Rattus norvegicus: one gene and its partners. The protein of the gene in region 3 purifies or fractionates together with the protein of the main gene of each other region. This does not show direct contact. Links are inferred from orthologs where the notes say so. Each region holds a gene or a part of one and is shown on either strand. Other genes may lie near its edges. The genes, in order: Ppp2r1b, Ier5, Ppp2r2d, Ppme1 and Ecsit.

Evidence for each region.
Region 1: the proteins of Ppp2r2d (region 3) and Ppp2r1b purify together in Homo sapiens (affinity purification with mass spectrometry; 4 studies listed by BioGRID and IntAct, counting the BioPlex papers as one, with this or other methods). This does not show direct contact. The link is inferred for Rattus norvegicus from reciprocal best matches to the Homo sapiens genes PPP2R2D and PPP2R1B.
Region 2: the proteins of Ppp2r2d (region 3) and Ier5 purify together in Homo sapiens (affinity purification with mass spectrometry; 3 studies listed by BioGRID and IntAct, counting the BioPlex papers as one, with this or other methods). This does not show direct contact. The link is inferred for Rattus norvegicus from reciprocal best matches to the Homo sapiens genes PPP2R2D and IER5.
Region 4: the proteins of Ppp2r2d (region 3) and Ppme1 purify together in Homo sapiens (affinity purification with mass spectrometry; 4 studies listed by BioGRID and IntAct, counting the BioPlex papers as one, with this or other methods). This does not show direct contact. The link is inferred for Rattus norvegicus from reciprocal best matches to the Homo sapiens genes PPP2R2D and PPME1.
Region 5: the proteins of Ppp2r2d (region 3) and Ecsit purify together in Homo sapiens (affinity purification with mass spectrometry; 3 studies listed by BioGRID and IntAct, counting the BioPlex papers as one, with this or other methods). This does not show direct contact. The link is inferred for Rattus norvegicus from reciprocal best matches to the Homo sapiens genes PPP2R2D and ECSIT.

What each region holds. Positions count from the first base shown.
Region 1 is NC_086026.1:60,097,853-60,103,279, forward strand, and holds part of Ppp2r1b (serine/threonine-protein phosphatase 2A 65 kDa regulatory subunit A beta isoform), read left to right. Parts: intron 1-2,640; coding exon 2,641-2,796; intron 2,797-3,016; coding exon 3,017-3,131; intron 3,132-3,523; coding exon 3,524-3,594; intron 3,595-3,857; coding exon 3,858-3,992; intron 3,993-5,427. UniProt on the Homo sapiens protein: The PR65 subunit of protein phosphatase 2A serves as a scaffolding molecule to coordinate the assembly of the catalytic subunit and a variable regulatory B subunit.
Region 2 is NC_086031.1:69,818,579-69,824,570, forward strand, and holds Ier5 (immediate early response gene 5 protein), read right to left. Parts: upstream 3,965-5,992; 5' UTR 3,779-3,964; coding exon 2,852-3,778; 3' UTR 1,872-2,851; downstream 1-1,871. UniProt on the Homo sapiens protein: Plays a role as a transcription factor. Mediates positive transcriptional regulation of several chaperone genes during the heat shock response in a HSF1-dependent manner. Mediates negative transcriptional regulation of CDC25B expression.
Region 3 is NC_086019.1:203,093,289-203,099,169, reverse strand, and holds the start of Ppp2r2d (serine/threonine-protein phosphatase 2A 55 kDa regulatory subunit B delta isoform), read right to left. Parts: upstream 3,589-5,881; 5' UTR 3,483-3,588; coding exon 3,476-3,482; intron 3,390-3,475; coding exon 3,297-3,389; intron 1-3,296. UniProt on the Homo sapiens protein: Substrate-recognition subunit of protein phosphatase 2A (PP2A) that plays a key role in cell cycle by controlling mitosis entry and exit. Involved in chromosome clustering during late mitosis by mediating dephosphorylation of MKI67.
Region 4 is NC_086019.1:164,084,731-164,090,157, forward strand, and holds part of Ppme1 (protein phosphatase methylesterase 1), read right to left. Parts: intron 4,162-5,427; coding exon 4,032-4,161; intron 2,571-4,031; coding exon 2,526-2,570; intron 540-2,525; coding exon 475-539; intron 1-474. UniProt on the Homo sapiens protein: Demethylates proteins that have been reversibly carboxymethylated. Demethylates PPP2CB (in vitro) and PPP2CA. Binding to PPP2CA displaces the manganese ion and inactivates the enzyme.
Region 5 is NC_086026.1:28,891,022-28,897,165, forward strand, and holds the start of Ecsit (evolutionarily conserved signaling intermediate in Toll pathway, mitochondrial precursor), read right to left. Parts: upstream 3,346-6,144; 5' UTR 3,294-3,345; intron 1-3,293.

The DNA of each region.
Region 1 (5,427 bases), on a different chromosome or scaffold from region 3:
TTAGTAGCTGTTAAAAGGAAGAGTTGGAGAAGAATTGGGTTCCATCACTAGGAAGCCAGGGCTGCATCAGGGACAGGTGTCTTGCAGAATTATGGGCTCTGTTACATATGGAGATGAAGCATTTCCTGGAATTCTGACTTTGTTAATTTCTGCATTAGAGTATGGTTGTACTGCACACAACAGTGACCTTAAATCCAAGGGTCTGGGTTTCCTTGGTGTAGAAATGAGAAAAATTGGGAATTCCTAAATTCTTTAATACAGTTGTTTGTCAGTACAGAGTGTGGGGATGGTTCTAGGATCATGTAAGAGTGCTTATCTTAGATTTCAGGTCCCATATGTAAAATGGTGTACACAATCTCCAGAACACAGACACTCAAGGAAGTGGAAGTCCAGCTAGTTTATGAAGCTTGGTTAAGGCTATATGTAGCTAGTTGAGTGTACATAGGCTTTAGCCACAGCACGGGGGCCGGTGTGGTTTCTTTGTGCTGGGATAGGAGTAGGCAGGCGTAGAATCTTTATTTGGAATTTAGCTGGTAATATTTCCCATGATGTAATTTGGCATTTTCTTTTGTCTCCTATACTTCCTGTTTGCAGATTTTAAAAATTTTTTTATTTATTTTTTTGATGAAGGCCAGCCAGGAAATGCTTTGAGGGGCCTATAGTTCCTATGAAACTCCACTCCCATGGTCCAAAAGCAGCCAGAGTATGGGAACCAATGGGCATGAAACTTACCCATGTCCTAGGTGGGAGCTGGCTGTGAGCATTTGGTGCTCAGAAAATACTCCATGTATTTTATTTTGGAGAAATGGAAATACACTGTGCTCCCTCTGACTGTGTATAGAAGACCTGCTCCTGGCTTACCCGTGGACAGAAACATTAAGTACCTACATATATATATATATCTATGTAAGGCATGGTTCTTATGTTAACTGCTGTGTTAAAGGCAGACAGGGTCCTTACTCTCATGGAACTTACATTATAATGGAGGAAAACAAACATGATAAAAATCAGGCATAAATGTTATAAAAATCAATGTAACACAGTAGAACACTGGCTGCTAGTCAGCAGAACTCTGAAGAAGTGACAGGCAGGCAGGAGACAACTAACATTGGAACATGGTGGTTGAAAGAGTCCAGGGAAGACAGGAGTGGAGAAGGAAGGTGGGAGCAGATCATAGCCCAGGGAAGACTTTGCAGTTTTGATTTTCTACTGTAGACTCAGTGAGGCTGTACGTAGATGTGGAGAAGAGGTGTGGTGTGTAATTTACATTTTTGAAAGGTCATTCTGTCTTATGAGTGGAAACAAAATTGTAGGACGGATAAGAATAGAAAGAGAAGGCCAGGTAGGTGGCATTGATAGGAGCCAGGCAAATGATGAGGGTGCTTTGTTGTGTGTGTGTGCTCTATTGTATCACATAGACAGCAGTTTCTTGTCCCATTTTTCCTTTGGTGCTCAGAGGATTATATGTCTAAAGTTTTACTTTATCTGATTTTCCTAAGTCTGCAGTCATGACTTCTAATGTCTGACTGAGCTTTAATTTAGTGTTCTACTTACTCAGAAGACATCCAAGGGTCCCGCTTGGCGCCTAGCAGCTCTGTACACAGAGACACAAGTTAGCTTCCGCCTTTCTGTGCACACTGGAGCCTGACTGTGTCACTTGGCTGTCACCTTGTCCCTTGTCCCATCTCATGCTGCTGTGATCAGCTGGAAAGAGCTGTCATGGTGATCTCCTTTGTCCTTTAAATTCTTCAAATGTGTTATTAAGTACTTAGGCAAGGATAATTTTTCAACTCCTTATAATGCTTTGAATATAGCATAGTTTAAAAAAATTACTCTTTATATCAGATGTGGGTAAAATGTTTGCCTGATCAACACTCAGAACCCATGGAAAGGTGGAAGGGGAAATCTGACTTACGGGTGTTGTCTTCTGACTCCCACACACATTATTAACATACAGTAAATAACATTTAGAGCATCTTCTTTATGTTAATAAAATCTTGGTGCTGCAGTCAAGATAATTTAACCAGATTACCATTTGTGGTTTTCACATGCCAGACTAGGCAAAGGAAGAAGTTATGCAGCCATTTGAAGACTTCAAGCCACAGCATCATATCTTAACTAGGGTTGCCATTGCTGCCATGACCAAAAAGCAAGTTGGGGAGGAAAGGGTTTATTTGGCTTACACTTCCACAATGAAGAAGTTCATCATTGAAGGAAGCTAGAACAGGAACTCAAACAGGGCAGGAACCTAGGAGGAACTGGTGCAGAGGCCATGGAGGGGTGCTTGCTCCCCTCCCCATGGGCTTGCTCCCCTCATGACCTACTTATCCTACTCTCTGATAGAACCCAGGACCATCTGTCCAGGGATAGCACCGCCCACAGTGGACTTGCCCCACTCCCATAAATCATTGATTCGGAAGATGCCCTACAGGCTTGTGTACAGCTTGATCTTCTCTGGCATCTTGCCAGTTGAGGCTCCCTCCTCATGGATAACTCTAGCTTATTGTCCCATTGACAACTCAGCAGCACAGTGGTTTTTCTCTCCCCTGCTTTCTGAAGTAGTACCTGTGGCAGAAATCTCATACTGCACTCCGTGCAGCATTTCAGCAAATTGACCAAACAGACTGTTTTTCTCTTTAGGATTCTGTGCGCCTGCTAGCTGTAGAAGCGTGTGTCAGTATTGCCCAGCTACTGTCTCAGGATGACCTGGAAGCCTTGGTAATGCCTACACTTCGGCAAGCAGCAGAAGATAAATCTTGGCGGGTTCGCTACATGGTGGCTGACAAATTTTCAGAGGTAAAATGTGTTGGCATTTCAAGGATTAAAAACCTCAAAGGCATTTGCCCCACAGATTTTCTATCGGACACAGCTTACAAATTCTGTTGAATGGTTGTGAATTAAAAAAATAAGAGAGCCTGCTTAGTTTTTCCATTTTCATTACTCTATGATGATTGTACTAAATTTTGTTTTTACTATTTTGTTAGTATACATTACACCTGTATAAATTGTTTCCTAGCTCCAGAAAGCGGTGGGCCCTAAAATTGCACTCAGTGACCTCATCCCCGCCTTCCAGAGCCTCCTCAGAGACTGCGAGGCCGAAGTCCGAGCAGCCGCTGCCCACAAAGTAAGAGGTGAGACTGGCTGTGGAGTCCTGTGACTTTGGCGTTGTCCACTCACTGTAGTTTGGATGGCGTTTTGCTAAAGTAGGACCCAAAATGTATAAACCAGAGAAAAATGAGTCTGTGCAGCAACATTTCCCACTCTGATGCAGTTGTCATGGTAGGAAGTCTGGCCTAGTTTTAATTCATAAGACGCTGCAGACAGATGATACCAGCATGCGGAATGTGGCACTGTCCTCGAGAGCTGAGGAAGGTCCCATAGTTGAGATCAGAGGACTTTCAGCTCTGCTGTGAGAAGTAGGCGTATTGCCCCACAGAGGTTGTTTGCTTGGACTTATGATTTAACTTGGAAGATGTGGTTAATTGTCCTTGGCTCCTTGACAGCACTGTGTTTCCTGTTTCAGAGCTTTGTGAGAACCTGCCCACTGAAGGCAGAGAGACCGTGATTATGAACCAAATCCTGCCCTATATAAAGGTGAATGTGACTTCATTTTATTTTGTTTACCCTACCTATGAAGCTCTTAGCATTTAAAGAAGAAAGAGGCATAAATGAATCAAATGCATAATGTGTGAAAATATTTATAGTTGATTTGTGCATGTTATACTTGTAAAGCTTGTGGACGCATAGTCTGTTACTCCAGACGGCTGGGTCGGCCGCTCTGCTGACCAGTGCTGCTGTGGACTGCTTGGGAGGTGGTGTGCAGGCTTTCGTTGTCTTTAATTTTTATTCTGTTTTAGGAATTAGTGTCTGATACCAACCAACATGTCAAGTCAGCCCTAGCTTCTGTAATTATGGGATTATCTACAGTTTTGGGCAAAGAGAATACCATTGAACATCTTCTGCCTCTATTTTTAGCTCAATTAAAGGATGAGGTGAGTCTGGCTATGAATCCCTTTGCTTTGGTGTAATTGATTTGATAGGATCTTGTTTCTTCTCCTTTTCTTTTTTTCTTTTGGGTTTTTTGAGACAGGGTTTCTTTGGGTAGCTCTGGCTGTCCTGGAACTCGCCACTCTGTAGACCAGGCTGGCCTTGAGCTTAGAGACCTGCCCGCCTCTCTGCCTCCCAAGTGCTGGGATTAAAGGGACTGGAAAGCTTTGGTTTGGTGATTTTGCTAAGATAGGACCCAAAGTGTGAAGATGGGGCGGGGGAATCATAGTTTAGATGTTTGACAATCCTTCTCTTTGGGTATAGGGTTACAGGTTTCCCCAAAACTGGGCACAAGGAGTAATTAAAAACAAACCCAATTGTGTGTGGTGGAAAATGCCTTTAATCCCAGCACTCTGGAGACAGAGGCAGGTGGATCTCTTAAGTTCAAGGCCAGCCTGGTCATAGACCAAGTTCTAGGAGAGCCAGGGTTACTTAGAGAAATGCTGCCTCTAAAACCAAACCAACCAAGCAACCAACCAAGAGCGGCTGGAGAGGGAGCTGCATGGTGAGCTGCATGAGCTCTTCCAGAGGACGTTGGTTTGCTTCCCAGCATGAGCTAACAACTGTCAGTGAATCTGGTTCCGTGGGGTCTGAGCCTCTTCTGGCCATTGCAGGTGCCAGGTCCACAGAGCATAAACATGTTCATGTAAGTCATGAAATACGTCAGTCTTAAACTAGCCTGAACTACCTGCTAAATGTTTTATGTTATATCACTGGTTCCTTATAGTTAAAGTTCATATATCTTTGCTTAAACAGTATCTTTTTACTTATGTTTAAAATGTAGCTTCAGATATTAACATTTAGTGGCCTGAGGTGTGGCTCAGCAGTTAAGAGGCCTGCTACTTGTAGAGGACCAGAGCTCCAATTCTGGTGTCCATATTGAATGGCCCATAAGTGCAACTCCAGTTCCAGAGGATCCAACTCCCTCGCTGGCCTTCATGGGCACCCACACATTTGGGCACACATGTACACTTTACACAGACAGTACATACATACAGATGAACAAATGATGTGAAAGTTAGTGTCAGGCATGATCGGAGTGCTTTGGATATGCCATTCACACCCAGCGGGCTTGAGGCTGACTCCTCATGCAGAGGAAGTGAAGCACAGGGATAGACATCTGAGGTCTCCCCGCGCAGGGGCAGACCTAAGACTTGAGTACATAGAACTGAACTCCAGGGCCTGGGCTTTTTACCATCGCATAGACTTTATGCTTAATTATTAATTAAAAGTTTTTTTTTTCTATTCTTTTTTTGGAGCTGGGGACCGAACTTAGGGCCTTGTGCTTGCTAGCAAGCGCTCTACCACTGAGCCAAATCCCCAACCCCTAATTAAAAGTTTAAACTTTATTATTGTGTGAGTGAGTGTGCACTCGTGTAT
Region 2 (5,992 bases), on a different chromosome or scaffold from region 3:
AACAACAGTTGGGTGCTTCCTAAGTATGAGGTATTTGTTTTGTTTGGTGTCTGAGGAGGGTCTATGTAGACAGGTTTGGCTAGCTTCAAACTGGAGAACCTCCTGCCTCAGCTTCCCGAATGCTGGGGATTACCTGCATGTGGCACCTTACTACAGCTATGAAGTACTTTCTAAGACCATTACCTCAGTAATTTTCACAACTCTATGAGGTAAGTACAATTATCCTTGTACTTTCACTTGAAAGCACTTGAAAACCACCACAAGGAAGGAAGAAGCAGAGTTGAAGCCACATGAAGTCCTCAGAGAAAAGTGTCAGGACTAAGGCATGAAAATGCAGGCACTCTGGCTCCAGAGCCCATGCTATTGCACCATTCATTTCCTGCAACAACAAAAAGACAGACGGGACACCTTTTCCCAGTTTACTTCTGTAAATTAAGCAGACACGTGGTCCCACGGCTCATCTTTGTGCACAACTAAGGATGAAGAGGGGCCTTAGTCTCTTCTGAAACAAGCACACAACTCTCTTCACACCAAATGTGACCCCTTTCAAATACAAAGCACACCGAGAGGGCGGGTCAAGCATAAGTGCATGCATGCAAAGGAAATGGCTGCAGAATGAAGGCCGGGGACACCTTCAGTTTAAGATCCACTTAATGGATCCTTAGTAGTTATAATAGAGCTTAAATAGCTAATTTCTGAAAGAAAACAACTGAATAGTGCCCTGATTAAAGCGTGTTTTATCCTATGTATTATGTACATACTATTGTGGTGATGGAGTAGGAAGGCAACAGCTCTCCTCCTTAAAGAACCAGTCATAATCTTAAAGAGCAAAGCAATGGCCTATTCAACTATGATAATTCATATAGAAGTATACACACACACACACACACACACACACACACACACACACTCTTAAACTAAGGCCAAAGAGCATATTTCCTATGCTCCTTTTGTCTCTTTCCTGTTTCTGCCTCTTAAGCATTCTACTTAGTTAGAAACTAGTGGCATCTTTTGAAGAACTAGCAATTATATTTAAAACTGAGTGTCTAATTGGTTTGCTCCTAAGAGATTACCTCTTAAGTACTGAACGTTTTGCCTCAGACAAAACGGTCTCTTTAAATTGTCTTGGCTGTCATCTGTTTATCGTGACCAAAACCACTTATGTCATCATGTAGGGTGACAAGAGCAAATCAGGAAGTTCTGCTACATGAGAATTAAATTTACCCAACCTTCCTTAGTCTCCTTCTCTGGTTTGATACACATAATTTCACTTTCAACATTTACTTTCTACAACTGAAGACAAATGTCAGCCTTGACATCTAATGGAACACGAGTGATGAACCTGAACATTTAGAGAAGTCAATCTCATCGGTTTCTTCATGACTGGTCCTACTAAGACCTCTAAAGTTGCTTTCTAAACCCCACTCCCACCCCAATTCAAATCTACAAAGTGACCCATGGTCTAATAGATTACCAGATCTGTTTAGGAAACAAAGTTTTGGTGGAAATACTTGATATTGGAAAGGCTGTAAAACTTGGCGTTTAGTATTATTTAATATTAAAGATTCCATCAAGTCAAACTATAGAAAACCATGACTACAGAGAAAGCTGTTTCAGTGGCAGGTTTCAAACTGCCAGTCATTAATTCCAGTATCTATTAGTCCTGTGAATGGGGATGTGCGTGAAAACAAAAAAACCAAACCAAACCCTTAAACGTGTCTCTCTTGATACTTATTCTAGTCAGCCAACAATGTCCCTAGCCTGTGACTGGCTGATACGAAGAACCACACCTTCCATTTCCCAGCCTGGCTGCCCCTCCCCCCACCTGGTTGGAAACCCAGACAAGTGATTACATACATACAAGCAGGTAGTGGAGTTGCTTCAAAATATTTAATACGTGTTAGACACGTAAAGTTACATTTTTATACAAAAATCAATACAGAGGAGGAGAAAATACTGTACAAAAACCTTATCAGCTCCCCCAACCTTTATACAACAAAGACTGGAGTCACCGTATCTACAAAACCATAAGGTCCTTCCACTTAGAGCTCGTCTGTAAACTTTGTTTCATTAAACACTTTTTAAAAGCACTGTGTAGTAAGTTCTGAGCTAGAGCTTTTAAAAATATATCTTTTTCTCTATAAACTCCATATTTCCAAGCTTGAACTCTTCTGTGAAGTTCAGCAAGCTTTTTTTCCCCTGTGGGGAATTGAAGGTCCCTTAATGTTCTGCTTTCCCAGAGTAATCACAGGGTAGAAGCGCTTCTTCTGTGCCAGAGAAAGATGGGGAGGAAGAAAAATAATACAAGTCTCTACTCCAGACGAACTCCCTCTAGTCTGGGGAAATCCTGTGAGAAAACGCCACTCCGCGCCCCGGTGTGGTCCTAGCTTTCAGGAGAGAGGTTGTGTGTAAAGTCCCTCTCTTCCCCAAGATCGATCGGGGAACTCCCCTGTCTCGAACCTTTCAGCAGCTTCCTTTTCTGTGCTGCTGGCAGAGGAAAGTCCCTGTTTGCACCCCCAAAGTCTCGAGAACGGGGAAGGGGTGGTGCATTCCAGAACCACAGAATCGTCTCAACACAAGACAAACTTACACATGGACACACACTGATACAAAAGTTAACGATCGATCGTCCTCTTCCAATAAGCCTCCCACTCTAGGTCTCAGGATGAGACTCGAGAGCCACGGCCCAGCCGGGCTGCCCCTTCCGGGGCGATGTGCTGCCCGGCAGCAACCAGTCTCCCTTACGCGCCCAGCGCCTACGGTCTCGGCTCGTCCTCGCGGCCGGGAAAGGCCCCGGCCGCACTTCGGGGACTCCCGCTGCTCAAGCTCCAGCCGCTCAGGTCCCGGGGGATCAGAAGGCCACGATGGCTGTGCTCCAGGGGCTCATGTCTCTCAGAACCGGCTTGTCGCAGCAGATCTGCCCGGGCTCGGAGGCTTCCGGGCCGCCCTCCTCCGCCTCCTCTTCCTCCCGCCCGGCCGCAGGGCTTTTCCGTAAGAGTCCCGAGAAGCTAGACCCGAAGATGCTGATGAGGTTTGCCACGTTCCCGGTTTCCATCTCCTCGTCGGTGTCCTCCTCGTCGGTGACCGGCTGCTCCTCGGAGTTCCGGCGCGGCTTCTTGAGAGGGGTAGAGCCGGGCGCGGAGCAGCCCGCGCGGCCGCCACCCACTCCCGCTGCGCCACGCTTCCTGGGACACGGGGCGGCTGGCGCCGGGGACCCGTTCTCTGAGGACCGCTCCTCCACGGCCGACGGACAGCCACACGGGCGGCGCAGTGCCCGGGGCCCCTCGGAGCACGCGTCCGAGCTGCCTCCAGAAGGCGCCACGCGCGGACGTTCCACGCGGCCCCAAGCAGCTGCCGCCGAGTCCTCCTCTCCGCCCCGTAGAGCGTCCTCCGCTCCGGACACCGCGGCCACCGGTTCTGGGCTTCCCGCTCCCGGCGTGTGGCACACCGAGGGACGCTGAGGCTGAGGCTGAGGCTGCGGCTCGGGCTCCGGCCAGGCGGCGCGGGCGACCGGTGGGGGCGGCTCTCCCCAGCCAGATGGTGGCCCCGCTACCGGCTCTCCGGGCTGCTGTGGCGGCGGTACCGCCGGGGTCCCCGCAGGGCCGGCCAGGTAGAGGCCAGGGCAGGGGTCACTCAAGTAGACTTGGCGGGCGCTGCGCAGCACTAACGACACCAAGAGGTTCTTGTGCAGCTTGATGCCGCCGCGCTGGACCCGCGAGTTGTAGATCTTGCCCAGGGAGATGCTGACGATACGGTGAGCCTCCAGCTTGAACTCCATCCTGCCTCCTCTTCCAGACGACGGGGTGAACGCCTGCTTGCCTTCTAAAGCTGAGAGAGGCGCGAGAGGCAGGAACAGGTTCGCCTCTGTGGTTGTACCCTCAGCGTGTGAAAGCTCGGTGGAGAAAAGATCTAGTGATGCGTAGTTCCCTCCGCCTTTTCTCCTCAGTCAACAGACCCGTTCTGGGCCAGCCTCTAAACTGAGCGGTGCGGGGCCACACCGCGGTTTATATATGCTCCGCGAACGCCAATCACAAAGCGCCGCCAACCGTTCTGGGCGGGCCGATGCGCCTCGTGCGCCACCCCCGGCCAATCAGAGGCAGAGGAGGAGCCCCGGGGCCGGTTCAAACGTTAGTCCCGCGGAGCAAGCTCTTAAAGGGGGAGATCGCAGGCGACCCTTTGATCAAGTGCGGTGGGATTTGTGTTCTGAGCGGGTGATGTGGTAGAACGAAGCACACAGAACTGTTTGTAGTTAGGAATTCCGCTTTGTGAAGTACATTGGCACACTGTAAGGAACCGAACTATTGGGGCTTTCATCCGTTTAGTGTGTTGGAATCTACTGCACAATAAAGTTCGGTTCCTTTCATGAGCAATTTCCAGCTGCTTACAGCTGGTACAGCTGTAACTTCTGGTCATTCTTGGCAGAAACGGAAGCGATGGCAATATATGACAACTACCACGATATATTTGAGATATTATTTTGGAGTTAGTCCCTTTCCCATTAGCGTTACACTCAGCATTTGACTACAAACAAAAAGGGGAGTTTATAGAAATTTCCAAGCTTCTGCTTTATCAAGGAACAGAATTCAGGCACAAAGTTATTGGTTCTCGTCCAAAGCTGGCATATTTCATTCCATTCCTCAGATTCTCAGTTGTCAGTATAGATTAAATGAAGATGTTACCTACTTTTCCACAATGGTTTTGTCTGTTTAAAAAAATGCACAGTAAGTAATTGATCTATTCTTGGGGAAATCTAGTAAGTTCTAAAAATACAAATAAAGAAGTTCTGGTTCCCCATATTGATTATGTAAATTTGTTTTGTGTCAAGTATGGGCAAAAGTTCCTAAAATTTTCCTGGTTAGTCAATGTAGTCCATCCACTGAGTCTTACAAATTCCTGTCAAAAAGACCACGACAAGATGGTACTGGTGCCTGATGACTCAGTAAATTGCCTCATGGCCCTTTAGTTTCAAATCTAAAAAGGAAAAATCATGTATATACCTTCTTTATTATACAGAAGATAAATGACAGCTCCCAGAGGTAATCTAAATAATAAAATTAACCACAGCTTACACAGAGTCTATTAGTGTGAAAAGTTTACCTCATCCTACAGTAGGGTTTTCCTAACCAATGTATTTATGTAGAAGAAACACTAGTGAGGTAGGCTTGATTAGAGCTGGTTAACAACTAGGATGCGCTCAGATATGATGCTTTGGGGTGCTAGCTTTGGCCATTATCCCTGCTATAACTGAAGCCCAGGGTTCCCCCCTTCCAGGAATTCTCAGTCCACATAGAGAAGGAGAGAAAACATTTATAACATGTAGCAACCACAACGTATGGTCAGTAATAACATGAGGTTCTTCTCCATTTTCTCTCCTTAAAAAAATTTTTTTACAAATATTTATTGAATATTGAAATCCAAGTCTGCATCTAGATCCTGACCACTCACCCTTAAAACAACAGAGGGGTGTGTGTGTGTGTGTGTGTGTGTGTGTGTGTGTGTGTCCCTTCAGGTTTCCTAAGGAATGCAGTCCAGTGAGGTTCTGATGGAACCCACTGTATTACAAATGACCTATACTCATGAGGACACAGTGTATCTGGTAATGCTGTATCTCACAGATATATTTATCAACGCCATGTAGTAAGTGGTACTTGAACTCACGTATGGAGATAGCCCATGTTCCTAACACAGCTTGTTTAAATTTACAGGCTGACTGACAGTACATCTGGGGTAGAGCCTGACAACCTAGTCCTTTCAAAGCTTTGTTTCTTTCATCAGCGCTTCTTTAAAAAAATATTAATTTATTTAGTTTGTGTTTTTTGAGACAGGGTTTTTCTGGCTGTCCTGTCCTGGAACTAGCTCTGTAGACCAAGCTAGACTCGAACTCAGAGACCTGCCTGCCGCTGCCTCCTTATGCTGGGACTAAAGGTGTGTACCACTATGCCCACTGAGCATTCTGACTTTATTAAAAAAAAAACCAAAAAACAAAAACAAA
Region 3 (5,881 bases):
GTTATTACATTAAAACACAAAACTCAAATAGAAATAAAGGCCCTTTCTATCCTGCTCTGCCTGGCCAGCCTATCTACACCCTGCCCTCTGTCCCCTAGGCTCTCTGAGACTTATTAATCTCTAGCACACATCTGACCATTATGCCCAGGACAGCAGAAAGACAAAATAGGAGCAGGGCTACCTGGAATTTTGCAGAGCTGAACAAAAAGCCCCATAAGTTACAAGTTTCAACACATAAATTTTGCTATACTTTAAAATCTCAAATCCAAGCCTCAGCACATGAATTAAACCCCTTGAAATGCCACCTCCTAATTATCTCTCACCAACATTTCCTCTTCAAGTGTGAGTTTGGATAAGACTGGGGTTGTGATTTTTGTTGGTACAAGTCCTAGTCCAGTGACTACCTTTGCCTTTTTAAACCATTACTGAAAAGTCAAACAATATCTCAGCTGTCTGATGACAAAATGACAGAAAATAAATGATGGATTAAGAAGTGCGTGAGTTAAAACAGAAAGCTGTAAATACATACAACTGAAAAAAATACAGGCAATCATATAATATTACACATACAAAAGACTTGCAAACTAAAAATTTTAGATGTACTCAAAGTTTTACTTAAAACACATGTTTAAAAATCATAAAAGGACTGGGCAGTGGTGGAGCATGCCTTTAACTCCAGTACTCAGAGAGGCAGAGGTAGGCAGGATCTCTGAGTTCAAGGCCAGCCTGGTCTACAGAGCTGGGGCTACACAGGGAGACCCTGTCTCGAAACAAAAAGCAAAACAAAACAAAAATTAAAAAGAAAACCCCCCAAAACAAAAACAAAACACCCACAAAAAGTTCTAATCAGTTTAACACAAGCAACAAAATATTTCTGTTATGATTTTTAAGGGAAAGAATGGTATTTAACAAAGTATAAAGTCGTTTTAAATTCATTTAACTGAGGGGCTGGAGAGATGGCTTAGCAGTTAAGAGCCACTAACTGCTCTTCCAGAGGTCTTGAGTTCAATTCCCAGCAACCACATGATAGCTCACAACCATCTGTAATGGGATCCAATGCCCTCTTCTGAGGAGAGTAACAGTGTACTCATGTAAATAAAATAAATAAAAGTAGGTTTTAAAAAATTCATTTAACTGGTCAATAAAACCTAAACCAAACCAAACCACACAGAAACCCAAAATTAAGGCAGATTAACCTTCCTACCACTATTATCACAAATAGGATGAGTCAACAGGAGTGAGGCTGACCTGTCACCTACCTGGCACATGAAAAATGAAACACAGTAATACATTTTATGCCAATACAGAAGAAAAAAAATCAATAAACTACTCCACATAAAAGTCACCTGACTTCAACCCCAAACCATGCACCTCTGCAACTTTTGGAGAGCAGTTTCACAGGTCAAGATGACATGGTCTGGTCTTGTCCCCTGGGGCCACAGACCTCTGAATGTTCTCAAGGGTCATGAGTCAAGCCAGACACTTCCAGAAGAGACAGGGTGAAGGAGGGAACAAGAAGCAGGACAGGACATCAGAGGAGAGGCTGCTAGTGACAAGAAAGGTGGGTTGAGTAAATAGACTTTCTTTTAAAAGAGTGAAAGGCCCATGTATTAGACACTGAACAAGCTGCAATGACTCTAATATAAAAGGCTAATGTTAAATCTCTAAGAATAAACTCCACAGCCTTTAGACTCTCCTAGCTCCCTGTGTACCTGGCACATTTAAACTATGATTAGGGGAAAAACAAAGCAACAGACTGAGTCTGGAGGCTCAGGAATAGTCGTAAGGAAAGCTGGGCTTTGCAGCGCTTTCCAATAATTTCAGAATTTGGGAAGCGGAAACAGCAGGGTCAAGAATTCAAGGCCAAAGTTGGGCATAGCAGTCCACGTCTTTAATCCCTGAGGCCAGCCTCGTGAACAAAACCTGGGCTGTTCTACAGAAAAACCCTGTCTCACAAACAGTTCAAGGCCAGCCTCAGCTACATAGGGAGTTTGAGGCCTATCTGAGCTACATGAGACTCTGTCTCAAAACCCAAAAACAAATAAAATTTAAGGGGGTTTAGCAGGAAGAGTCATTTGCTGTCAAGCCTGATAACCCAAGTTCCATCCCTGGGACTCACATGGTGAAAAGAATCAACTCCTCTGACACGTTGTCCTCTAATCTTTACACATGCAGGGGCGTGTATAAGCCTACACTCACAAACACTTTGAAATTCCAGCACTTAGCTGGATGGGACAGAGTTTAAGGCCTGGGCTACAATACCAAGACCCTTTCACAACCAACCAATAAATCTAAAACAAAACAAAAAACTAAGAAGGAAGGCTGGAGAAGTGGCTTTAAAGAGCTGTGGAGGAAGAGAAAACACTCAGGGAAATGCCACTACTGCAGAGCTTCAGGAGATCCCATGACAAAGTAAGTTCCTCTTGCTCAACACCAAGAGGTGGAGATCAGAGCTGACCGATGTCTACCTGGCCAGAGATTGGACTGGACAGACTGGCACACCAAGGTCTACAAACAGGGCACCCTGAGAAATTCAGTGCTCCATCCCATCCTGAGTCAAGTAGCACAGAGAGCATGGGCTCCCGGAGACTGACTGATAACCCTGCATGAATATCCTTCCCCCTTACACAGGTGCCAGGGAGAAGACAGCCCATGGGCCCCCACAGAAATGTGTCCGGGACCTGATTTACCCCATAGGTCAACTGCCATCACCCCCCCCCCCCCACAACAAATGAGCCTCACCTCACCCTGTGGTACCAACTCCTAGCCGAATCCCGGGGCCACTGCCAGAGACTAGTGTCTACAGTCCCGTCTTATTCCGTATAGACTCTAGAGAGACTTGCATTTACGACGGCTGTGCACCCTAGACTCCAAAGACCTGTGACCACAGGCCTAGCTTCCTTACAAGGCTTGATACCTTTGCCCCAGCCTTACCGTTTCACAGACCTCGAGGCCAGCGTCCATGGTCGTCTCCCCACAGCCTCCCGAGACTGGCCCTCTATGGCCATCTGCCTACCGACCCCCGAGGCCGGAGTCCATAGCCATCTCCCCACAGCCTCCCAAGGCTAGCGTCCACCGCCGTCTCCCCGACAGACCCCCGAAGCGGGACTCAGCCACAGTCTCTCCCCATGCCTGCGTCCACAGCGGTCTCCCTACCGACGCCCCTCCCTCTCTTATGCTTGGCCGGCCGAGGGTCTCACAAGACAACGCCGGTCAGGCGGGCAAAGGCGACCGCGTCCGGACCGGCGGCTGAGCGTGACCTTGCACCCGGGACTCGGGGATCGGTCGGGCCTCACCTTCCGCCACGTCCTCGTCGACAGCGCCCTTCACCTGCGAGAAGCACCACTGGAAGTCGTTGCCGCCCGTCGGGCAGCCGCCACCTCCGGCTCCTGCAACAGAGCGCGCCGTCAGGCCGGCCCCGCCCCGCCCCACCACCGTCCGCCCGCCCGCCCGCCCGCTCGCGCACGGTCCTCACCTGCCATGGCGCGGGCGGGACGCGCCCAGCTGAGCGCGGCCGACCGAGGCGCTCCGAGCGCTCAGCCCCGGCCGCCACCGCCGCTGCCGCTGCCGCCACCGCCGCCGCCGCCGGGGAGGGAATTTTTTTCCCTTTTCAAAATGGCGCCCAAAGCCCGTCGCCCCGCCGGATGACGTCATCCCCCTCCGCCTCCTCCGACGGTCAGTGCCGCGGGGGCTGCCGGGGGCGCACCGTGCACCGACTGCGTCTGCGCGAGCTGTTTTGAGGTTGGGCCTGCGTAGCCGCTGCGGTCTATGGAAAGAGTGTCTTGGAATAGTCGGCCAGCAGATATAGATGGCCTTCTCGAGTGGTGTAAGGGCTAGGACGCGACGCCCTCTGCGTTCTTAAGGCCTCAGACTTTCTTCTGCGGCCGGCTGGATTGGATGCTCGAAGGCCTGGACCCTTCCTACAGCTGAGCCAACGGGAACGCGGAACCTCCGTGGATCTGCCAATAGAGAGCGCTCGGCCGTGGGCTGGCGGGGTCTCTGAATCCCGGAGCACCTGGAACCCAGCACCTGCGTGCGTAATTTTGCCCATCACTCAGGCTTGCTTGCCCCCAGTATCTTTGACCGTAGCTTCTGAGCACCGATCTCACCAGAGTGCTACTTCAGGGCACTTCTTTGAGCTCTCAGTATAGCTCCAGGGAACCGTCGACATTTGCTTTATTTGTGGGTGTGTTTTTCTAGCATGAACAGGAATTATTCGTTCGTGGGCTTGACGTATCCGAAGTCACTATGAAGTTGGTAGTGAGCTTATTGCACCACTAGAGGGCAGTTGTTCCAAACCAGAGCATTCTCCACAAATGCTGTTCTGCCTTTTAGCAAGTGTCTTTTCTGTTCTCAGTCTTGGCTGGGATGCTGCTTGTGTAGAGGTGATGCGTCTGTCTTGGTGGAGCTTAATCTGCAGTGGAGAAGAGACAATAAGAAAAACCTGGGGAAAGTCAAGTGGCGTAGAATTAAATACAGCACAGAAGCAGGGGAAAGGAGATTGGAGCAGTTGCTATCTTAAGGAGAGCAATTGGAGGAGATAAGAGTCTCCTTCCGAAATCTTGGGCAGCTGCTAGAAGTGGGGACAGCCAGTGCACACGAAGGTCCACCCTGACCTTGTCTATGTTTTTAGTTTTAATTCAGTTGCGCGCGCGCGCGCACACACACACACACACACACACACACACACACACACACACTTTGATTAGGGTCTTGCCATGTAACCTGAAGCTGGTCTCTAAATTGAAATACTTCTGCTTCCACCTTGTTGAGCACACCTAGCTCGCTAACATGTTTAAAGCACAGCCAGAAGCCGAGGGGAGAACAGAGTGACCAAAGAAGGCTAGTCATGGTAGTGGAGGCATGGTGGTCAGGGACAAAGCAGGACGATGTCTTCAGGGGGTGAACTCTGATGAGAGGACTGGCTGTGGCAGAGTTTGGGAAAGTCATGATGGAATAGCACCCTCCATCAGCCGCAGCACCCAGGGTTGTTTCTGAAAGAACTGTCTCCCGAGTTAAGTAGGAGGGTAAAATGAGCCGCAGGCGTCTGGGTGTGTGAGAGTAATGAGTAGTGAGGTAGTGAGGGTATAGGAGTGTCACTCAAGTGACACTCCAGATCATCAAGAGAGTTAGAAGCATATGTATACAGCTCTGAGAGGACATACCGGGAGAAGCCTGAGGAAGGAATTCCAAGCCTGGGAAGAAGCATTCTGAGACTTCTTGCAGAACTGGGATCTAACTTAAGTTTATTCAGACTCCACGTAGACAGGGGTATCTCAAGTAATGCCTGGGTTGCTAAGTATTCCTTTCTGCCTAATTGTAGCTGCATGTTTAAGATATGTAAGAAGACTGCAATAGTTAAAACGGTTCCCATTGTCACAGACGTGTGCCCGTGTGCACTGGAATGCTCTCTATGAAGAATGACAGACTGAGTGGACAGAACTGTAAGTAGCTGCCCTAATAATCAGTGACAGGCAGTATATTTGGCTTATGCTTCCACATTACGGTCCATCGTTGGAGGAAGTCATGGCAGGAACTCAAGCAGGGCAGGATCCTGGAAGCAGAGCTGATACAGGTCATGGAAGTGTGTTGCTTACTGACTTGCTCCTCCTGGCTTGCCCAGCCTGTTTTCTTATAGAACCCAGGGCCACCAGGCCAGAGGTGGCTCCACCCATAATAGTCTGGACCCTTCCCCATCAATCACTAATTAAGAAAATAACAGGTTTACCCTCAGCCAGATCTGATGGAGGCATTTTCCCCATTGAGGTACCCTCCTCTCAGGTGACTCCACCTTGTGTTAAGTTGACAAGAAATGAGCCAGCATAGGCCAAATTTAAGTTTAAAATTTATGTACATCTACATCCAGGCCATGAGAGGGTGA
Region 4 (5,427 bases), about 39 Mb from region 3:
AAAGAGTTTAGTTTCTTACTGGTCACAGAAAGTACTGGTTCCAGATAATTAAGCTTTGCTCCTGCCCACACTACCACTGATGGTATATTTCCTGCTGCAGTCAGCAGAGGCCACAATCACCAACTGCACACGTGGCTCTCCTCGGTTTTCCTTGTGGTGTGGGAGCTGGGCTTCAGCAACGGTTTACTTCTGGAAAGGTTATGAGCACCTTTTTCTTACAAGCACTATTAATCTCTGAGTACAAATGGATTTAGGGTGCAGTTTGGCTTTAGTGGTAGCCACAGGGCTCTGGGATCAAACAGAGTGGGCCAGCAGCTCTTCAGCACAGACAAAGTCAAGACCACAGGCACTGACTGGGAAGGAGCTTGGGGAGCTGGCAGATTGCAGATAAACCCCATGGCAGGCTTATCCTACTTTCTGTGGAACCCACATTCCTCCCAGTTGTCCTCTCAAGTCACCAGGCCCCAGACTTACCTTGTCAGGGGCATCCTCATGGACTGCATGGCCACACTGGGGTAAGACCTGCATCTGGAACTTCCCTGGAGAGGAAACAAGCAGGCAACCTCAGGGACAAAAAGCCCTCCCTCCTCATCTCTGTTCCTCACAGGTCACTGGGCAGCCCAGGAGGACCATCTCCAGGACAGTCTGACGAGTGTAACTAGACCCTGTTCCTCTCCTTTCATGGTTCACTTTTGCCTCTTGGTGTAAATTCACTTTGGGCAGAAAACTCAGCCCCTGTGCTCACAGGATTCAGTCCAGTGGGAGAGTAAAACACAACACTATCGTCGATGTGGTCCCAAGTGTGAAAATGGTCACATCGACTGTAAAAATGTAGTAAAGGTCTTGATGAGCCAGCAGGCATCCAGGCAGGCTTCTGCACAAACACAGAATAGCCCACTCCAGGGAGAGATGGCTTAAAATGGCAGTTACCCATGGAAATGATGGCCTAGCACCATGCTGATGTGAGTGGCAGCAATGGAGCTGTACTGGAAAAGCAGGGGCCACATGCGGAACTCTGCAAGTTATGTTAAGAATACTGAAGTGGATGATTACAAAAGACAGCAGATGACTATTTAACAATGGGCCAGGCTCTGTAAGATGTACTTCCTCACACTGTCTTACAGAACACTGCAAGCTTACAACTTACAGTAATTTGGGGGGCGAGGCTATTTGGGATTAAAACTAGGGCCCAAGCATGGTACTCAAAACTACCAGTGAGCTACAATCCGAACCCTAATAGGACAGAATTAAGAGTGAACAGCTGGGCAATGTAGCTCTGCTGGTGTGTGTTGGTCCAAGGGTCTGGTGTCAGAGTGAGCAGAGCTGAGCTGAGTTGCTGCAGGAGCAGCAGGGGTGTGCCTGGCAGCCAAGCACTGCAGTTAAATGCTAACGACTGGTGAGGAAGTGTGAGGGGCCATCTTACTCTCTGAACCCAGTTTTCCCATTTAAATGCAAGAGAGCTGGAACAGTCTTTGGGGCACCAATGCAGGCACAGCAGTGGTTCTCTCCTGCAACAGTAGCTCATGTCTTCAGTGTACTATTCTATCCACTGTTAAAACCAACTCTACAATCACATGGGTAAGGAACCTAGTTCTGATTAGGGCAATGCCCTGCCCAAGGCTGTGAGATTAGTGAAGGGACTGAGTCCATACCATTTATTAAGCCTATTAATGGCCCTCCTCCTGCATATGGCTGCCTCTCCTTCAGATCTGTCATATTATTAACTCATATGATTCTAACACAGAGCAAAGAATGGGTCCTGCAGCATCCACAGCTGCATGGCCCTCCTCTCTGCACTTGTGTGTGACACTCATGCCCACCACACCTCGTCACCCCTCTGAGGCTGCATCAATGTTCATGTTTTACACGTGAACAATGTTCCAGCTGACTGATTACTGGGAAGCAGCATCTAAAACTCACCACCACTCTGAGGCTCTCTTCTCCCTCCTCACCATGATGTCTTCTAACAGACTTTATTCCCTTTGGTACCTATGTTTTTTCTTTCTTAAACTCTCAACATTTAAAAAAAAACGCTGAGAAAACTCTTTCTGTTCCCATCCCAGTGTTAGGCACTTCTATAGACTTAATAGTTTCCAGATGGACCACTTCATCTTAACCTTTCCATCGTGGTTACAGATAATATAATAGCTCCCATCTCTAGTTAGGGGAAGACAGTCAGTCACTTCAAAAAAGGGAAGATAACCTTGGGAGGCAGAGGCGGTCTGAGGTCAGCGGGGTCTACAAAGGGAGTTCTAGGTTAGCCAAGGCAACAGAGAGAAAACCTGTCCAGGGTGGGGTGGGGACAAAACAGAACAACAGCACCAGCCCTCAAACAAAACAAAAGGGAAGGGAAGATACCCGACCACACCCCCTCCCGGGCTGGAGAGGAGGCCGTCCAATAGAGCTGGCTCACTGCTCATGCTCTCTCCACTGTGCGTCACCATCTACAATCGATTTTCCTAAGATTGCCCACATTTCCTTGCCCTCAGAAGAGGATCCATGGGCACAATTCCTGGATGACTTACCCTGCATCTGGCCTATGGTCAGATCTTTATCCAATCTATCAACACCTAGAACAAAACAGGAGAATCTGTGAGTAACTCCCTAGAAAAGGCCTTGTGAAACGGGCTTCTCAGTACGGAGTAAACACGGCCTCAGAACTGTAAAGACCACTGCACTCTCAATCAGACAGATACAATTCTCTGACTCCATATTCCTAACAGATGAAAATTTTCAGGTTGAGATTTCTGGGTAATCATGTTCATTTTTTAAGATTTATTTATTTTATTTCTGCATATTTCACATATGCACTTGGCACATGTAGAGGTCAGAAGGATGTTAGACCTGGAATTACAGACGGTTGTGAGGCACCGTATGAGAAGTGGGAACTGGATTCAGGTTCTAGAGAGTAATGAATGTTCCTAACCACTGAGCTGTCTGTGCAGCCCTGCTCATGCTCACTCACAGATGTTTAGACAAAAACAACATTTTCTGTCTAGATTCAGCGTTCAGAGTGCTCTAGGAGTTAGGTTCCACCAGGTCCTCAGGGCAGGTCAACAGCATGCAGACTGGAGGGTGTTTACTCCCATTAGGTTTAGGGCTGCATAGGGGTTGGTTAGAAGGGGGTTTCTCCACTTTAGAAGTCACTGCCCATTTGGTTAATAGTAACAGTTGTGATGAGGTCACATCTAGATGACAGTATACTCACACTTCTATGGACTGGCTGTCTCCCACAATTCATGGGGAAGCCATAACCCCCAGTATATTTGGAGATGGGGTCTACAAAAGGTAAAATGAGGTTGTAGGGTGGGGGTCTCTGACACAATAAGATTATTGTCCTTGTAAAAGACCTCAGAAAACTGTCTTGCTTCCTCTTAGCCATGTGGAAGCACAGAAGGTCTGTGAATCAGGAAGAGCTCTGAGAACTTAATCCAACCCATACTCTTATCTTACACTTTCAGCCCCAGACTGTGAGAAAAATAAGGTTCACTTCTTTAAGCCACCCAATCTATTTGAGTATTTCAAATGTATTTCAAATGTTTGATTTCATCCAAGGAAAAACAAACACACGCACGCGGGCACGCGGGCACACACACACACACACACACACACACACTCACAATCACACACATACTCTCACATACACACTCACAATCACACACACACTCACAATCACACACACACTCCCAGTCACACACACACACTCACAATCTCTCACACACACACACGATCACACACACACTCTCACAATCACACACACATTCACACACACTCACAATCACACACACTCACAATCACACACACACTCACAATCACACACACACTCTCACAATCATAAACACACTCACACACACTCATAATCACACACACACTCTCACATACACACTCACACACACACTCTCACAATCACACACACTCACACACACTCACAATCACACACACACTCACAATCACACACACTCACAATCACACACACACACACACACACACACACACACACACACACACACACACACACACACAGCACTTACCTGCCAAGAGCAGCAGTTTAGGAATAGGACAGCTAAGAAAGAGATTGGATAAGCCTCGGAACCAGCCGTCCCAGTACTTCTCTGTTTTTGCCAGCTCAATTCTCCAGGTGTATGGATGATCCTTCTTGGTCTGTAGGGATGAAAGCAAGGTGAATCTGAGGTTGAGCCCGGGGAGCAGGACCAAGACCAGGTCTGTGGGAAGGAAGGTGAGCCAGCACTGTTACGAGTTCACTACAGCCCAGATAGGTGAGTGTCCATTTAACCCTGTAGCAGCACTGCACGCTGCTGTAACTTCTGGATGATCTGGACCTTTCTTTTTCATTCCTATTGGCTTTCTTCTGGCTCACGGAAGCCTCCTGCCTCAACCTCCCAAATGGCCAGTGCTACAAACAAGGTTCACCATAACTACTGGTAACTTTAGGTAAATTTAGGAAGCAAATAACTATTGAGCCAAGGTACAACTTTCCTTTCAGTGAGTATAAAGATTAGCAAAAGATTCACACAAAGAACATAGTGAAATAAAACAAAAGAACCCCTGCCACCACCCCTCCCCTCCCCCCCACCAACCTAAGTGAAAGAAAAAGCAGAGACTGTCCTTCAAGTTAGGATGACTACCAGAGAAACGTGGTAGACGTCTGGGAGAGAACAAGCTCATTTGTGAGTACAGTGCTGTTTTCTCATTTTCAGGTTGATGATGATGACCAGGGACAGTCGTTCTAATAAGGTGACGTGACAAATACATCTGACAACTGGGTGGTGAATGGCACACAGTATGCTATCAAATATTAGGTGAACTAGCTGGGCTGTGATAGAGCATGCCTTTAATCCCAGCACTTGTGAGGCAGATGCAGGCAGATCAGAGTTCAAGGCTAGCTTGGTCTACAAAGCAAGTTCCAGGACAGCCAGGGCTACACAGAGTAACCCAGTCTTGAGAAAATAAAGCCAACCAAACAAAAAACCTTTAGGTGACCTACTGAGTCCCCTACTTGCCTGCATCATAGAACTAGGTCAGATACAACTGAAGCAATGGCAGGACGAAGCACCAACTGCAACAGGAGATCTAGATGTGGACAAGATGACACTGTCTGCTCAAGATCAGTGGGTGACTAAGATGTCCACAGCACCCAAAGTGAGCCAGTCAGTGGAATCAAGTCTAAGTGGTATTTTTGGATGATATTTCAATGATCTTAAAGTTGTCTAAGACTACATACAATTCTGAATAGCCAACCAACTTTGCAAAAGTGTTAGAAATCTGGAGAACTCATTCTTGACTTCAAAACAGTACAATCTGTAGTAATTGAGAGTTTGGGACTTAGAGATATACAGTTCAGAGGCACAGGTTGAGCGTGCTGAGGCCTTCTGAACCACAAAACCAACAAAGTTTATAGTGTCATTA
Region 5 (6,144 bases), on a different chromosome or scaffold from region 3:
ACTTTCTGGAGGTGGGTGTTGTGCATACGCCTGTAAATCCCAGTGCTGAGGTGGAAGGTGGGATCAGCCTTGGATACACAGCAAGTATGAAGCCAGCCTGGGCTACAGGAAAACTTGTCTCAAAATCAGGAAAAGAAAACCAAGAAAACCAAACCAAACAACAACAAAACTCCTTTTGGGGTGACAAGATGGCTTTGCAGACAAAGGCAGTTGCTGCTAGTCTGACAACCAGAATTCCATCCCCGAAATCCAGAGTGGAAGGAAAGAACTGACCCCACAAGTTGTCCTGACTTCCGCTCCTCCAGTGGATGAACACACACACACACACACACACACACACACACACACACACACACTCTCTCTCTCTCTCTCTCTCTCTCTCTCTCTCTCTCTCTCTCTCTCTCTCTAAGTAAAAACAAACAAACAACCTTCTCTAGTTGAGCCAGACACAGTAATGCACACCTTTAATCCTAGCATTCAGGAGTAAAGGCAGCCAGACTCCTGTGAGCTCCAAGCCAGCTCAGGCTACATATGAGAACCTATTTAAGGAGAAAAAAAATCCAACTCTTTTTCCAGTATCTCCCATCTTGGCCCCAAATCTCCCTCCACTCCCTGCTTTCTTTATCCTTAGAGCTTCCCCTAAGCCATGATTACACACTGGTTCCTCCTCCTCAGCAGCCTGACGGCTGCCCTAGTCCTGTCAGTAATGCCCGCCCAATGCACCGCTGTGCTCAACACTTTGAAGGCAATGACTTTGAGGTGTCAACTTCCAAGTATCAGACAGTGACGTCCCCTCCCTTATAGTCCTTGCTAACATCCTTGGGTTTCTCCCTGGCACCCGTGCCTACTTCTCAGCCAATCATGAGATGCCTTTCAATGTCAGCATTATCTGCAACACTGCCAAGGGTGCAGACAAATGCCCTGGGAGCACAAAACCTGTAGATTCAGGCTTAGTGGAAACATGACCATACTTCTGACAACTTTTATCAACAGCTGCTGGCCTAGGAAATGTAACTAGACTGGACTCAGGCTGGGACTCTATAGACCTGGCCTAGACTCCTCCAGGGAGCTGCTGGGCCCAGTGAGCCTCTGCTAGATTCCCCTAGTGAGTGGCTGGAACTGAGACTCAGTGTTATCTAGAATCCCCCACGGAAAGGCTGATGGTGTGGCTCAAGGTAGGTACTTGCTTGGTATAGTTGGATAAAAAGACTCTAAAACCTTGCAAATTGTGTTCCAGGACCTGTAGAATGTTGGCTGTAACTCAGGTCTACTGCATGAGAATCTGCATTGTAACACCCATAGGTGGCTCCTCATGCATTAGAGTTGTTAGTGTTTATGCTCATGGTTCCCTAATGTTTTTGCCTCCATACCTAAGTATAACTTTGGTACAAACCAGCCATGCCAAACTCCATCCAGGGAACACTGACAACACCTTTGCTGACTGTGCTTCTCTGGAGGCCAGCCAGTAGCACCACCCTTCCTGGTTATTCAGGCCCCAATGTAAGAATTGCTCAGCAGTCACTATGTCCCTATTCAGTCAATAGATAGTCCTGGAGACTACTTCCAAACCTATCCCCTTGCAGGCCACCATACCATTCCACAGTGATTTCCTGCATACCTTTCTGCCTTCTCTCTGCCCTGCTAGTTACTTCCCTCCATTGCAAAAGGAAGCTCTTAACAACAGAAACCAGTTGTGCTGGAAAGATGGATCCATTGGTAAACTGTTTGCCCTGAAAGAATGAGGACCTGAGCTCCAGCACCCATTACAAAGCCAGGTGAGGTGCCATGCACTTGCAATCTGAGGAATCTGAGAAAGCAGAAGCAGGCAGGCCCCTGAGCTCCCTGCAACAGAGCCCTGAACTCCCTGTAACAGAGCCCTGAGCTCCCTGCAGCAGGCCCCAAAGCACAAGGTGGACAGCTCCTGAAGAACAACATCTTAGGTTGACATTTTTCCTCCATACATGTGCTTACATGTGTACATGCACTAACATACATCCCTGTACCCACACAGGAACACACAAGAATGCTGGGTGTGATAGCACATACCTGTAATCCCAGCATTTGGGAGACACAGGCTGGCGGATCTGAGTTTGAGGTGAAACCAATCTATACAGACAGCAAGTTCCAGACCAACCAGGGCTACATAGTGGGACCCTGTCTTTAAAAAGAAAATGTGCTTGAGATAGGTGTTGTGTGTGTAAAGCCAGCACTGGGGAGTGTGAGGCAGGAGGATGGCCTCCAGAATCAAAACAGCTGGAGATCGTTAGTGAGCTCCATGGCAGTCTGAGCTACAGAAAGGTCCTGTCTAAACTTTAAACAAGAGCAGGGAGAGAGAATTCAGCTGGGAAAGGAACTTGCTGTCAAAACAAAGCAAACCTAATGACCTGAGCTCAAACCCTGGAACCAACCTAAGGTGTATGGATAAAACCTCAGAGCTGCCCTCTGACCTGCACCATGCACCATGGCACATGTGTCCCACCCCCCACACCATAACCAAAATAAAACTTCAAAGTAAATACACATCGGATGGCTTCTACCTGCTGTACTCCCCCTTTCTCTTGTAGCACCAGCTACACTGTTTCTGAAACAAGACAAGTTTATTGGTTTCCCAGGCTTTGAACTTGTTTTACCCTCTGCCTACTGTTTACTGTTTTGGTGTATGCCTATAATCCAGAACTCGGGGGCTGAAGCAGGAGGACGATCATGATGGGTTCGAGGCCAGCTTGGGACACATAAAGACTCTTGAATCAGGGAAAAACACACTGCTTGCAACAATCACTGTTTTGAAATCACGAGATTACCTGTTCTGTGTGTGTGTGATTTGCTCAATAATTGGCTCTCCTAGATAGTACTTTTTTAAAAAATCTGTTTTTCTCATTGTTGTGTCTCCACCAACTGGGTCAGTGCTTGGCACACTGTAAATGCCCAACACCGATCAACTGAGTGTGAATAAGCAGAAAGTTTCTACAAGACATGGATAAATCGGAACAGCGAGGTAGCGTGTATGTATGCGTGTGGGCTGGCACGATTTTGAGTCTCTGAGGCTGGAAGGTTCCAATGCCTGCCTCACAGACAATGTACGTTGCCCGAGTCCGCTATCCCATCTGTGAAACGAACGCCTGCAGCAAGAGGTGCCCAGCAACCTTTCCTTGCTCATTCCCAAGCCTGCACCTGAAAAGGTCACAGTGCCCTGACTGAGGTCGAGTTGAAGGTCATATTCCCCGGCTCTACCAGGCTTGGAAGTGGACGCCCCAATCCCAGACGGTCCCATAGCCCTCCCACGCGCGACCCACCTACTCACGCGGCCACCCGCACACCCGAGCAGGCTAGCTGGGACCGCTGGGCGCCGTCATGTTGAGCCACACAGCTTCCGGTTACGAGTCGAAGGTGACAGCAAATCAGAAAAACCTGTGACGATAGGTCCCGCCCTCAAGTGGAGATCCACCAATAGGAAGGCGGAAGACACTGGTTTCTCCTCAGGAGCAGGCCCTGCTGCTCACCGAACTCTAGAAGCCTTGGGTACCGGTGCGGAGGCGCTGGATCGGGTTCCCCTACGTCTGTCCGGTCCAGTTTTCTCCGCCGTGATGGTAAATTATTGTTACGGACTGGAAGCACCACATCCGGTTCGGAGCCCATGGCCTCTTGCGTGCTAAGCAAGCACTCTACCGCTGTCTGCTAAGCCACAGCCTAAGTCCCGGGATTTATTCTTATTCTTTTTACTAAACGGGTTTTTTTAGTTTGGTTGGTCCAGTTGTTTGAGTCAGGGTCTTGCAGTGGTACTCAGCCTGGCCTCAAAACCCTGGATTCAAGAGATCCTCAGGGATCAGCCCCCTGAATAGCTGGAACTTCAGGTGGGCAACACTGCCAACAGCTTTAACAGAATGTCAAGTTATGTTTATTTTCATTGTGTGTTATGTGTGTAAGTAAATCTGTGTGAGCACGTTCGTGTGGAAGTCAGGACAACTTAGGGGGAATGTTCTTTCCATGTGGGTACTGGGGATGAAACCTGGGTCATCAGGCTTGGCTATGAGCACTTTTACCGCCCCTAAGTAACAATTTTTGAAGTTTGAATTCATCTATGTGAAATGGCCATATAAGTACAACAAGGGCTACTGTGAGAAAGGACATGCATTCCTGACACCCCTCTCTCCCTCCCCAACTGGGAGTCTAGATTGACTCTTCAGACCACCCACACTGAGAGCTTAGAGGCCTATGGAGTGTATGTGTAGATGATTGGATGGCCCTGGATTTGTTGTATGTGTGTATAGATAATAGCGATTACATATAGATATATTATTCATATGCATACACAGACGCATACACATATACATATATTGATTGAATATAGGCTTTTTTTTAACATTGTTTTATTTTGCGGGTGGTGCATGTGGCGATAATTTGCTATAATCTATCCTGGGAGTCCCAGGGATTGAACTCAGCCATCAGACTTGACAGCACTTTACCAAGCTAACCTGCCAACCTCATAAGTAATCATTTTTAAGACAAGGTCTTGTGCAGCCTGGACTAGCTTTGAACTTCTGTGTAGCTGAATTTGACTTATCTGATCTTCCTGTCTCTTTTGTCCTGGGATTACAGGCCTATGCCACCACACATTGTCTCTGTAGTGCTGGGGTACAGTCCAGAGCCTCTGACATTGTAGGCAGTTACTCTACCAACTGAGGTATAGCCCCAGTCCTTTTGTTTTGCTTAGACAGGGTCCTGCTGTGTTGCTTGGCCTGGCTAGCCAGGAACTCTTTATGCAGACCAGTTTAGCCTTTGTTTACAGCTCCAGTTGGCAGTGTAAACCTGGGAGAGTGGAGCCTCATTTTGAGGCTGACTAAAGTCTCCTTCAATAGCCACCATTAATTCAGAGCTTCAGGCAAGTTATACTCTGAGGGTTAAGAGGCATCGCATGGGTGAGGTGTTCAATTATAAGGCCATGCGTAGTAAAAACATGTCTTCCCTAGAGGCACATGAATAACAAGGGCTGTAATAAATGCACTGCCATTCACTACACCTGGGCAGAAGCACAAGAACAATTCTGTGTCTTGAAGAAATGGAGGTCACAGGAGTCATATCTTCTTTCCTTACGAGCACTCAGAACCCTCACAAAAACTCCATTCTTGGACTATGTTCTAGCAGGCCTTGAACTCGAAGAGATCTGCAGATATAAGACATGCTACTGCAGAGAGGGCTGCTCTAGACCCGACCACACATAAGCATCCCATGCCACTGTGCTTGGCCACTAGATTAACTGTCTCTAGGATGTTAGCTACTTTTAGGATTTTAGGATACCTATTATTATGTAGCCCAGGTTAGCCTCAAACTGTATCTGTAGCTAAGAAAAGAAAAGAGAAGGAAAGGAAAGTGAGCAAACCCAGCACATGCCGCCTGTCATCCTAGAACTCGAGAGATAGAGAGTCAACACTTCAGAGTCACTTGACATGGGGGAGCCTGGGCTAATAAGACCCTGACTCCAGAAGAAGGAACTTAACCCAGGGATGGAGTGAAGTGATGCCATTGAGGGGTGATCGCGAGACACGAAAGTCACCAGTTTTTGAGTACTGGTGTCCTCATATGAAGAGAAGAGGCAGAAGCAAGCACACCTCTTAGAGCTAAGGCCAGCCTGGTCTACCAGTCTTTTCCAATCCACCTAGAACTACATAATGAGAAACCCTGTCTCAAAAAGTGTGTGTGTCTCAAGGACCCAGAGGACATGTTCTCATTCTCCATCTCTTACCACGCAATGCTTTGTTTGCACTTACTGGGCACCTTGCCAGCAAGAAGGCATCAGTCAGTGTTGAGCCTTTAACCTCCAAAACATACATTAAACTGGATGAATCCTTTATAAGCCTACCCAGTCTTGGGCATTTCACTATAGTGGCATGAAGCAGAGTAAGACACCCAGACAAGGCAGAGGTAGATCTAGGGCCTTGATGTCTCTCTGTCAACCTTTTACTGCCTAGTTAAGGCTGTCCAGTGAGAGATGATGGGCATGCTACTGACCTTTCTATGACCTTTTGGACTATGGCTTCTGCCATTTACTGTACTGGTAGGGCATGCTAGCTGGGTGGGACCAGGGAGCCAGTTACACTGTTACGACTTTCTCTTTGCCTTTGATGGTTAATTTTTTTTCTTTTTTCT